Linked DNA regions of Notamacropus eugenii. The protein of the gene in region 3 purifies or fractionates together with the protein of the main gene of each other region. This does not show direct contact. Links are inferred from orthologs where the notes say so. Each region holds a gene or a part of one and is shown on either strand. Other genes may lie near its edges.

Region 1 (3,749 bases), about 93 Mb from region 3:
AAGCATTTCCCAGCCCTTGCCGTGCACCTTCTTTGTTGGTGCTTTGTACTGTTAAGTTTCCACCACCCTGGCTATCCTTGCTTTGTGCCTCCTCTTCTCGTTATTTCACTTAAAGGCCAACATTTAAGGCAGAAGGAGTGAGGAGTACTGAGTGTGGGGCAGTGGTGTGGCCATTAGAGACTAGTGGAACTGACTCTCCCAACAGATAACATTTCTGAGGAGGAGCGGAGGGGCAAGCGGGGTCCAGTGGCCTTTCAAAGACCTTGGCCCTGGCTCTGAGATCCGAGTACCAGAAGGCTGCCTTCCAGGGTGGCCTGGAGGATGTGATGCCCAGTGCGCTCAGTCACCAAGCGCTAAGGGCCTCCTGGTGTGCCAGGAACTGCGGCCGGGGAGCAGGCCGGTGGGAGGAAATCCTTTCCGAAAATCTGCCACTTAGTATCAGAGTACTGCCAGGAGGACTAAGAAACTGACACTTAGGATGCAGCCTGCGCGAGTCGGGCCAGCACTCGAACCCGGGACTCCCGTCCTGCCTCCCCACCTTTTCGGCCCCGAAAGCCTCAGTGAGATGCCCCCTTCCCCGGGGCAGTTGGGGGATCCCGAGCGTGGCGAAGGGAACACGATCCGGACACGACTCTGAGTAGCACTGTATTTCTACTCCGCACACTGCAGGGCAACATGCTGGATACATTATGGCCGGCGGGGCGGGGCGGGGCGGGGCGGGGCGGGGCGGGGGGAGGCTGGGGGGGGGCGGGGGGCGGCGCTCCGGGAGCAGTGGGCCCGCGGGAGGCTGACGGCCCAGGATCATAGAGAGCGCGGGCCGGGCGGGCGCCTCCGGGTGCCATAGAGACGCGGCCGGCGGGTGGCTAGAGCGCCTCCCACGCCCGGCGCGCCCCGCCCTCGCCCAGCCTCCCAACATGGCGCAGTCGGTGAACATCACGGAGCTGTCCCTGCCGCAGCTCGAGCTGCTCAAGAACCAGCTGGACCAGGTGAGGCCGGCCCGGGGCGCCCCGGACCCCGGACCCCGCCCGTCCGCGCCGGGCCCCCCCTCATTCTTGTCTCTCCCCGCGCCCCTTACAGGAGGTGGAGTTTCTCTCCTCATCCATCGCGCAGCTCAAGGTTGTCCAGACCAAATACGTGGAGGCCAAGGAGTGTCTGAACGTGCTCAACAAGAGCAACGAGGGTATGGGGGTGGGGGGGCGGGGGAAGGGGAGGGGGAGAGGGCCGGAGAGGGCGAGGGTGTGGGCTGGGCTTTTCTGTAGTAACCCATCGCCCAAGTTTGAGAAGCAGCTCTTCAGAAAGCCTTCTCTGCCCCCTCCAGCCTCACACCAAAGGCCTTCCATTTCTTTCACACTTTGACTTAAATGCCAAATGTCAGAAGCTCCCCCTTCCTTCTTCTTTTCTCCTCGCTCATTTTTGGTTATCAGATTGAGTAGTTCCAGCCTGGAAAACCTCCTGGTTGGGTTTCCTTTTAGCGTCGTCCCCTGGTGTTTATCTCTGTTACCTTCACAGGGAAAGAATTACTCGTGCCATTGACCAGTTCTGTATCCTTCCACTGGAGACTGCCGGTTTCCTTCCCACCTAGAAAACGGTTTTGGTTCCTTGGGCAGAGTCCTTTCCGTACTTGATTGAAAAAACTCCTCGCTCACATGGGGCCAGAGGATGTTTCTTAGCTACCTTGCCATGATCTAACCTCAGCTCTCTTCAGATACTTAAGTTCAGGTGATCAGTGGGAAGGGAAAGAGTTAATTGCAACTACCTGATTCAAGTTTATACTGGCCCTTTGAGTCCCCTGGAGTCCCCTAATCAGATTGAGTATAAGACAATGTCCTGGCTACCACAGGATTAGTAGAGCTGAGATCAAGCAATATCCTTGTCCCTTAGAAGCTTATTAGTAAACTACATACGAGTCACAGAGAAATAGAGATGAGGGAAGGAAGAAGACTTTGTGGGTATTGCTTCACAATTTGAGATTAACTATCCCTTTACCATGTGTCACTATACTTCAACAGGCTATTCTGGACATTGCCTACGTCAGGTTTATAGAGAAAATCCCTGTATTCTGTAGTCTAATAAACTTCCTTAAACATAAATAAGTACTGATGGAAGATAAACAGTTAACTAATAGACGCTGAATGACTTCACATATAAATACATGTAAATCAGGAGCCAAGTTGTTGGTGGGTTTGGAAGTGAGGCCTGAGTTTTATATTTGGTGGTGGTGTTCAGTCATGCCTGACTCTTCATGACTCCAGATTTTTTTGGCAAAGATACTAGAGTGGTTTGCTATTTCTTCTCCAGCTTATTTTATGCTGGATATGCACACTTTAAAGATGAAGAAATGGAGGCAGATAGGATTATGTGACTTGCCTGGGGTCACACAGCTATGTCTGAGGCTGAATCTGAATTGGTACTCTGTCCACTGTGCTACTTTTCCACTGCCTATATATTTAATAGGCTTGTGGAAAGTTATCCTTTATCAATATGAGTACCAATGGGAGTTAACATTTCAGGAAGAGAAATGGATTTGTTTTTGAATGTGAGCAGGTGGAAATGAAATTTTCAGTTATAGGGCACCTTCTTATGGTTTCTTTAGGGCTCTCTGTTCACAGAGAATGCCTTGACCGTTCTCCTCCTCTGTCCATTTCACACTATACTAAGTTCACAACTCTCTAGCTTCAGAACTTCTGGCTTTTGAGAGGGAAAGTGAAGGTGTCCCAGGCTGGGCCAGCCCTTTCCTTAATCCTCACCCCTCAGATGTATGTACCTGGGAAGCTACATGATGTGGAGCATGTTCTCATTGATGTAGGAACTGGCTACTATGTGGAGAAGGTAAGTTGGTGCAAGAGGAGGGGTTGGGAGATGGCATCATTGACAGGACAGTTGGGATATCTCTCCCCAAGAGTCCATGAGGGTCATTAACTTCTCCTCCTTTGGCAGTCAGCAGATGATGCTAAAGACTTCTTCAAGAGGAAGATTGACTTCCTCACTAAGCAGATGGAAAAAATTCAGCCCGCTCTGCAGGAGAAGCATGCCATGAAGCAGGGTGAGCCCCTGGGTTCTAGGTCGAGTGAACCTCCTTTTTGTTTGATTCTAGGCCTATCACTGTCTTCCCATCTTTCTCTGTTGCCTTTGTCTTTCTCTGGGTGTTATATGTGCTTGACTTGGCAATTACCACATATCGAGTACCCCCTGTGAGCAGAGATGTGCCAGCTCTGGAGGGTAGTCCCAGTTTAGTGGAGGGTAAAAAAACACGTATACCTCTGAAGATCTGTGACTTCATCAGTGTAGGGGCTCCCTCCGTGGCACAAGTTACAACTCATCCACATTCTATGAGCATGTGCAGTTCTTGTCTTTGTCTTTCCATTTCTCCATAGCTGATCTACCCAGTGGGCTGGTAGCATTCCCTTGACTCTTTTAACATTTCCAGGGTGCCAGTGTAGCAGTCTGTCTGCCCATCTGTTACACAACTTCTTACTCTAACTTCTTTGGTAATACGCCACACCCTACTTTTGCCTACCATGCAGCTTTTCACTGCACTTTGGGTCAGCTGAGTGTTGATTCTTTTGAGATTGTAGAATTCCATGCTTCACACTCATAGCATCATCTGGAAACTACCGTGGATAAAAAGAAGGGCTTTTGTGGCAGGGATCAGTTTGTAATTACACGAAGTGGTATTCAGCTGCCCCGCTGTAATTCAACCCGATCTTAAACTACCTATTCATTTCAGGACCCAGCTCATCTGGGCTACC
Region 2 (3,749 bases), on a different chromosome or scaffold from region 3:
AATATTATTGTGCTATAAGAAAGGATGAGCAGGCAGACTTCAGAAAAACCTAGAAAGACTATATGAACTGATGCTGAGTGAAATGAGCAGAACCAGGAGAACATTGTACGTAATGACAGCCACATTGTGTGATGACTATAGGAAAAACTTGGATCTTTTCAGCAATGCAATGACCTAAAACAACTCCAAAAAACTCATGATGGAAAATGCCATCCACATCTAGACAAGGAAATATGGATTCTGGGTGCAGATTGAAACATACTATTTGGTCTCTTTTTTTATTTTTGTTTTTCTTTCTCATGGTTCCTCCCAGTGGTTCTAATTCTTCTATACAACATGACTAATGTGGAAATATATTGGATGAGAATGTATACATAGAGCCTATATCAGATTCCATGTTGTCTTGAGGAGGGAGAAAGGTAGCAAGAAGGAGAATATTTAAAATTTGTAGAAGTGAATGTTGAAAACTAAAAATGAATAAGTTTAAAAAAATAAAATAAACTAAAAAAATAAAAAGTAACATTCTTAAATTTTCAAAGAACAACCCTCATAGCAACTAAGCTGGTGTTGGCAAAACAAAAGCAAAAATACAATATTTACTTCCTTCAAGGAGTATATATTTTATAAGGAAGGACAATATGTTGCAACTGCAAACACTCTAGCATACCCAAGATAACCTGCTACCACAGGTTCTTGTAGCTTCATTAGTAGGAAAGACAGCTGTTTAAGGGGTCAACAATCTTTTTTTAATTACACTCACTAGTTCAGTGGAAAAGTCAGCACCCTGAACTTCAGAGAAAACACAAACAAGAGAAAATGCAGAGAAAACATAAGCAGACAAAGATCAACAGACAGGGCTCTACTGCCTGAATCAAAACAATATTGCTATACACTTTACATATATATCCCTGGATGGAGAGAGCCTTTACATTTGAGCAGTCAGGAGTCTGAACATCGGGTTGCTCAGAGGCTCGACCAGGGAATCGCAAGGTCCTTCTCATAAGCAACGCCCTAAAGCAAAATACCAACTCAGAGTATATATACACTTCGCAGAGCCAGAAGGCATCACAATCCTCCTGACCTTGCTAATTAGAAATTAGCAAAAAGTGTGAAAGCCTGCCTTCCTTCCTCTAAGCAAGCTTACCTTAATAGGTGGGGAAGATCTTCAAGTCCCATTAATATGACACATGTACACATATACAACATATATGTTATATCTATCTATCTATATCTATACAAATATTTACAAAATAAACACAAGTAAATTTAGAGGGGAGGCACTAGCATCTGGGGAGACAGGCAGGTACATCTCATAAAGAAAATGACTCATAGAGGAGGAAGACAGTGTTTGATTTAAGCTTTTAAGGAAAATTAAGATTCAAAAAAGAAAAAATGAGGAGGGAGTACATTCCTGAAGGGAATAGACTATGCAGAGGCTCAGAAGACAGATTGTCCCGTGTGGAAAAAACAACAAATGGGCCAGTTTGACTGGATTGTAGATTAGTTAAGGAAGAGTGATGTGTAACAGGACTGCAAGGCTAGATTCAAGCCAGACTGTGAAGGGCTTTAAATGACAGAGAAGTTTACATTTTATTTTAGACATGGCAATAGGGAGCCACTGAGTTTATTGAGCGGGCGTGTCCTATTGTTATAGAACTGTGCTTGAGGAAAATCCCTTTGTTTGCATTGTGGATGAACTCGAGAGACTCGAGGCAAGCATTCCTTGGCTCTTAAGAGATGATTGCAGTAGTCCGGATGACAGGTGGTGAGAGCCTGAACGAAAGCGCTGACCAGGACAGTAGCAATTCTCAGGAACCTCTTAAGCTTTAACTGCTCGCATGGAACTGTCAGGGGCTCAAGCAGCATTTGTTAAGCGGCCACAATGGCCAGACGCAGTGCCTGGGAAGCAGGGCTAAGGTCGTCTAAGGAGGGTTCCACCCGCACGTCACAACCCTCCTTCCTCCCATTGGGCAGCTCTGTCTGGTCCCCTCCGCCTCCTCTCAGCGCTGCTGGAGCAGACTGCAACCTCCCCGCCACACCCCTTTTCAGTAAAGGATGGAGGACGAGGGTGGCTGTGCCTTTAAGAGGAAGATACCAAGTGCTTTCTTGTTTACACCTTCTCTCTCGGCTGCCACATGCTAAAAATCAGGCATAGTAGAGCAGAGAGAAGAGAGCCGAGAAATTTCTCTTTCGGGCGTGGCAATCTCCCACAGAAAGAAGTCGAGAGGTGACTGCAGGGGGGCTGGGCTGACTTGTGCCACCCCTCCCGCCCTGAGATGGTCCAGTCCCAAGATGGCCGCCACCATGAAGAAGGCGGTGAGTGGGGCGCTCCGGGGGTCTGGGGCTTTGGGCCGGGGCGTCGGTGCCTCGGATGGCCCAGGATCTTGGGACTGTGAGGGGATGAAGCCGGCGAGGGGCACGCGGAGGGTCTGAGCTCCTGGGGAGCGTCTGCTTACTAGATGTGGCCCTCGGTTCGAGGGGCCCGCGGCCGGAGCGGCCTTATTACCTTCTCCCCACTCCCGTGGGGCTTGGGGGGACCTTAGGCATGAGGCCGGGGCTCATCCTCGGGCCATTGTGGGGCTGCGCGTCTGGAAGTGCCGAGGGACATAATCAGGGGCCGGAGAAGTCTTTTGGTTCCCCTTTTCCTCTTCGTCCCTGGACTGGGGCCCCCTGAGGACCCGGCCCGGCCCCGTGGGGAGGGGCAGCCTCACTCGGAGGGGTAGAGCCTGGGGCGCATGTGCAGTGGCGGTACCTGGCTGTCTCTCCTTGACGCCCTGGGGGTCTGGGGAGTGGGTGGGGACGCATCCTTAGGGTGTATGGCAAGTTCTCTTTGGGTAGCTGGAGAGATTGGGTGGGGGTACTTGGATCAAGTTTCGTCCATCCTAGGACTGTCGGCTCTTAGGTTTTAGAGTCGAAGGGCTCCTTAGAACGTAGAATGTCAGAGCCAGAAGGACCATAGCGGTTATCTGGTCCAGGAGTTCTTAACCTTTTTGTGTGTCTTGGCTGGACCTCTTTGGCTGTCTGGTGGGACCAGCGAACCCCTTCTGAGAGGAATGTGTCTAAGTAGTAACAATGATAGTAATTGGCACTTATGTAGCATCTTAAGGTTTACAAAGTGCTTAACAACATTATCGTATTTGATCTTCACTACAGTCTTAGAAGGGTAGGTGCTTCACTCTTGTTATTCTCATTTTACAGATGAGGAAACTGAGGTAGATACAGACTATGTATCTGGTCACTCAGCTTGTGTCTGAGGACTGGTTTGAGCTCAGGTCTTCTGACTTTATGGCTAGTGCTTACGTAGAATTACAAAAGAACTAATTGAATCTATATCTGTTCGCTGAATGCTGTGATAAGGACTCCTGATAATCCTACCTGCTCATTTCACAGACAAGAAAACTGAGACCCACAGTGAGGAAGTGAATTGTACAAGGTCACTGAGTAAGTAGGAAAGCCAGTATTCATTTTGGCCACTGGTCTGTGAATCTAGTGTCAAGCACAAATTTAGGCACAGGTTTTCCTCACCCAGTAAGGGCTATGAATTCTCAAAGGAAGCCTGAGTATTTGAGGAAAAAATATATATATGTATGTATATGTATATGGAGAGAGAGAGAGAGAGAGGAGAGAGAGAGGGAGGACATTGCGGCCAACTTTGAAGCCTAATCTCAGTCTGTTGGGATTACTTTCCCTTTTGGGAAGGTTGGGATTTTTACATTTCATAGTAAAAGTGAATTTCATTCCAGTGAAGT
Region 3 (3,749 bases):
GGGGGGGGGGAACTCCTTGGATTCCCCTCCCATTTCTGCCAGGCCAGAACCTTTCTATCTTCTATTTGGCATTCTTTTGCTATTCCTCCCTTTGATCCTGTTACCAGCCACTGCCATCAGGATCCTCCCTAGAGTCTATCTGTATTCACCCCAGGGGACCAGTGATTCCCATTCTGCCCCATCAAGACCATTCCTGGGGCCGCAGACTGTTGGCATTCTTCCCTCAGTCTTTTTTTTTCTGTATTTCAAGTCCCATTTTGCCTCCACAAGGCTCTCAGATTCCATCCAGCTCAGACTCTGTCTGCCCACGGTCAAACACCCTCCCGGGCACTCTAATGCCCCACGTGCCACGGAAGAGGAGGCCGCGGGGCACTGCCAGGTGGCACAGCCAGATGGCACTGATCCGGGAGTCCAAGCAGACCTGGAGTTCGGCTCTGGTTCTGCGGCTTTGGACTTGGGGAAGCCACACGCTCTCTTGGGTCTCAGCCTCTGTATCTGTAACACGATGGACTTGGCCAGCTCCCAATGGGGTCTCCCATTTCGGGCCTCGTCTCTATCCTATCGATCACCAATTAGTATCTCTCATGGGGGAGAGGCTGACATGGAGGAAATGCTCCTGCGCGAATCCAGCTCCAGAAAGAAGGGACAGGCCTGTAAGGCCGGAAGCCCGTCTGGCCCCTCAGGGTCAGCCATTCCGGATAAAAACCTCCCTTCCCTCGTAGCCCATTCCAGGCACCGGCCCAGCGGCTGGGAACTCGAGTAACCTCCCAGCGCCTGCGCAGGAGCGAGCGGAGAAACAAAACCATTCCTCCCTTCCTTTCCTCACTTCCGGCTCGCTTCCCTTCCGAGCCGGGCTTTTTCATTCGCCTTCGCCCCGCCCCCAAGCTCTCCGACTCCCGGGAATGGCTGCGCCAAGCAGAGGCCCGGATAGACCCAGGAGAAACAGGAGGCGGGGCTTCCGCTGCAGTCGCCAAGGAAACGGATTGAACGCCCCTGGAGTCCTTCCCTAAGGCCCCGCCCGCCGCCTCTGGGAGCAGCTTGTGATTGGCTTAGCCCGGCTTTGCGCCCAGTCCCCAGGACCGTGATGGACAGACGGACCACATGGTTCAGTTTCCCTCCTCCCGAACCTTCCCTTTCCTCTGGCCCAAGAACAAGCTCTGATTGGCTGTGAGAAGCTCGAGCCACATCCTCCTGATACGTTCCCCATTCCTGGGTCCAGAGCGGCCCGTGCAGGTCTCTGAGGTGGGCAGTCTTGGGGGCGCGTGCCCATTCGAAGCTGCGTGAACCTTGGGCGGATCCCTCCCGCCCGCTCCAGGAGCCAGGTTCTCCGCCCCACTTCCCTTCTCTCTTACCGGCCTCCGATAGGATGAAGCGAGCTTAGTGGGTGGGGACAAGGGGAGGGCAGGCCTTCGATTGGGTGTGAGCGGATGGGCGTGGCCAGAGGGGGTGGGGAAGGAGCTCAGCCCTGAGGTGGCGGCTGCGGAGGGTGAGGGAGCGGGTGACCCCAGGTAAACTTTTTTCCCACCCCCCCCCAGCCGCTGTATCCCCCCTTAACTGAGGATCTGGGGATGTCAGGAATCTAACCCCCCCGGGAAGAGCGCGGGAGGGGGGCGCAGCCGTCTGCCGGGTCCGCGGGCCCCTCTCCCTCAGCCCTGCCCCCGCCCCCCGTGCTCGCGAATCTCCCTCTCCCGCCCTGCGCTCGCCCCCCACCCCGGTTCTTGCCCCGTCCCGGGGCGCTCCTGCCCCGCCCCCTTTCCTATTTTCTCTGGGCCGCCATGGCCGAGCCCCGGAAGGAGGAGGAGGAGGAGGAGGAGGACGAGGAGGGGGGCGCCGAGGGTCGCCCCGAGGCCGGGAAGGCGGAGCCTCCCAGCCCGGCAGCCTCCGTGGCGGCCAAGAACCTGGCGCTGCTCAAAGCCCGCTCCTTCGACGTGACCTTCGAGGTGGGGGACGAGTACGAGATCATCGAGACCATCGGAACCGGAGCCTACGGGGTGGTCTCCTCCGCCCGCCGCCGCCTCACCGGTGAGCTCCGTCACGGGGACCCGGGGCTGCCCTGGCCTGCTGCTCCTCCCCCATGGTCCATCTGTGCATGCCACCCATCCGGCCCGTAGGTCTGTACATCCATCCATCCATCCATCATCCACCCGCCCACCACCCTTCCATTCATCATCCAGCCCACTCTTCATCCAGCCTCCCATCCAGCCCGTGGGTCTGTCCATCCATCCATCCACCCACCCACCATCCTTCCATTCATCATCCAGCCAACTCTTCATCCAGCCACCTATCCAGCCCATGGGTCTGTCCATCCATCCATCCATCCATCCATCCACCCACCACCCTTCCATTCATCATCCAGCCCACTCTTCATCCAGCCTCCCATCCAGCCCGTGGGTCTGTCCATCCATCCATCCATCCATCCACCCACCATCCTTCCATTCATCATCCAGCCCACTCTTCATCCAGCCACCCATCCAGCCCATGGGTCTGTCCGTCCATCCATCCATCCATCCATCCACCCACCCACCATCCTTGCATTCATCATCCAGCCACCTATCCAGCCCGTGGGTCTGTCCATCCATCCATCCATCCATCCATCCACCCACCCACCATCCTTCCATTCATCATCCAGCCAACTCTTCATCCAGCCACCTATCCAGCCCATGGGTCTGTCCATCCATCCATCCATCCACCCACCCACCCACCATCCTTCTATTCATCATCCAGCCACCCATCCAGGCCATGGGTCTGTCCATCCATCCATCCTTCCACCCACCCACCCACCACCCTTCCATTCGTCATCCAGCCAACTCTCCATCCATCCCTTCATCTAGTCATCCCTATTGGGAGTCGTCCTTTGTATCGAATTTCCCAGAAATTCTATGAGAATCCTAGCTTTGGGGAACTTATTCCATGTACTCTTATTTTATTTATTTGAGTATATATGCTACTCACTTCCAGCCTTTGGAATATGAGATCCTGGAGAGCCCTGGACTGTTCTATATTTGTCCTTGTGTTCCACCTCCCCCACCCCACTCCTCATGCCTTCCTCAGTGCTTGATGAACTGTGTGCCTGTAGAGCGAACCAATGAAATGTTAGATTTATTCCTGGCTCTTTCTGCTTCTCAGAGCTTTCTCTGGTTTCCTTCATAATATCTTTTGAAGTAAGCAAGATGTGTTTGTATCTGTGTATGTATATGTATACATGTACAGGTATATACCTAGACATGTGTGTGCATATACATGTGTAGGCATACATGTGTGTACAATACATGTGCCCACATGATATGTGTTTACATTATGTGTGTATATATAACATACACATGAATATTATGTATGCATACACATATAAATAGCTGTAACATGTTACATATAACACATGTGTGATGCAATATATACGTATACATAGGTATACACATATATATACCTATGTATACAGAAGTATACATATATATATATACAAATATAAAAATAGCTATTCCCAGATGATTTCCAGAGAAATGTGACTTCTCTGGAGATCACATCTGCTAAGTAGCAACTCAGGAACCAGAGGAGAGGCCTCCTAACTCCTACCCCAGGGTGTAAACCATTGAGGAAGGTGGGAACCTAGGGTAATGGGGAAAAGGAAGGAAGGAAAGAAACAAGCATTTATTAAGTACCTGCTCTATGCCAGGAAGTGTGCTAAGCACTTTACAGATAGCATTTCATTTGTTTCTCACAATAACCTTGTAGATGTTGTTATTATCCCCTCT

The links.
Region 1: the proteins of MAPK7 (region 3) and PFDN5 purify together in Homo sapiens (affinity purification with mass spectrometry; 3 studies listed by BioGRID and IntAct, with this or other methods). This does not show direct contact. The link is inferred for Notamacropus eugenii from reciprocal best matches to the Homo sapiens genes MAPK7 and PFDN5.
Region 2: the proteins of MAPK7 (region 3) and PFDN4 purify together in Homo sapiens (affinity purification with mass spectrometry; 3 studies listed by BioGRID and IntAct, with this or other methods). This does not show direct contact. The link is inferred for Notamacropus eugenii from reciprocal best matches to the Homo sapiens genes MAPK7 and PFDN4.

The regions. Positions count from the first base shown.
Region 1 is NC_092874.1:226,239,230-226,242,978, forward strand, and holds the start of PFDN5 (prefoldin subunit 5), read left to right. Parts: upstream 1-847; 5' UTR 848-914; coding exon 915-986; intron 987-1,077; coding exon 1,078-1,180; intron 1,181-1,509; coding exon 1,510-1,541; intron 1,542-2,754; coding exon 2,755-2,829; intron 2,830-2,937; coding exon 2,938-3,043; intron 3,044-3,749. UniProt on the Homo sapiens protein: Binds specifically to cytosolic chaperonin (c-CPN) and transfers target proteins to it. Binds to nascent polypeptide chain and promotes folding in an environment in which there are many competing pathways for nonnative proteins.
Region 2 is NC_092872.1:512,589,935-512,593,683, reverse strand, and holds the start of PFDN4 (prefoldin subunit 4), read left to right. Parts: upstream 1-1,455; 5' UTR 1,456-2,292; coding exon 2,293-2,316; intron 2,317-3,749. UniProt on the Homo sapiens protein: Binds specifically to cytosolic chaperonin (c-CPN) and transfers target proteins to it. Binds to nascent polypeptide chain and promotes folding in an environment in which there are many competing pathways for nonnative proteins.
Region 3 is NC_092874.1:319,640,398-319,644,146, reverse strand, and holds the start of MAPK7 (mitogen-activated protein kinase 7), read left to right. Parts: upstream 1-1,444; 5' UTR 1,445-1,775; coding exon 1,776-2,022; intron 2,023-3,749. UniProt on the Homo sapiens protein: Plays a role in various cellular processes such as proliferation, differentiation and cell survival. The upstream activator of MAPK7 is the MAPK kinase MAP2K5.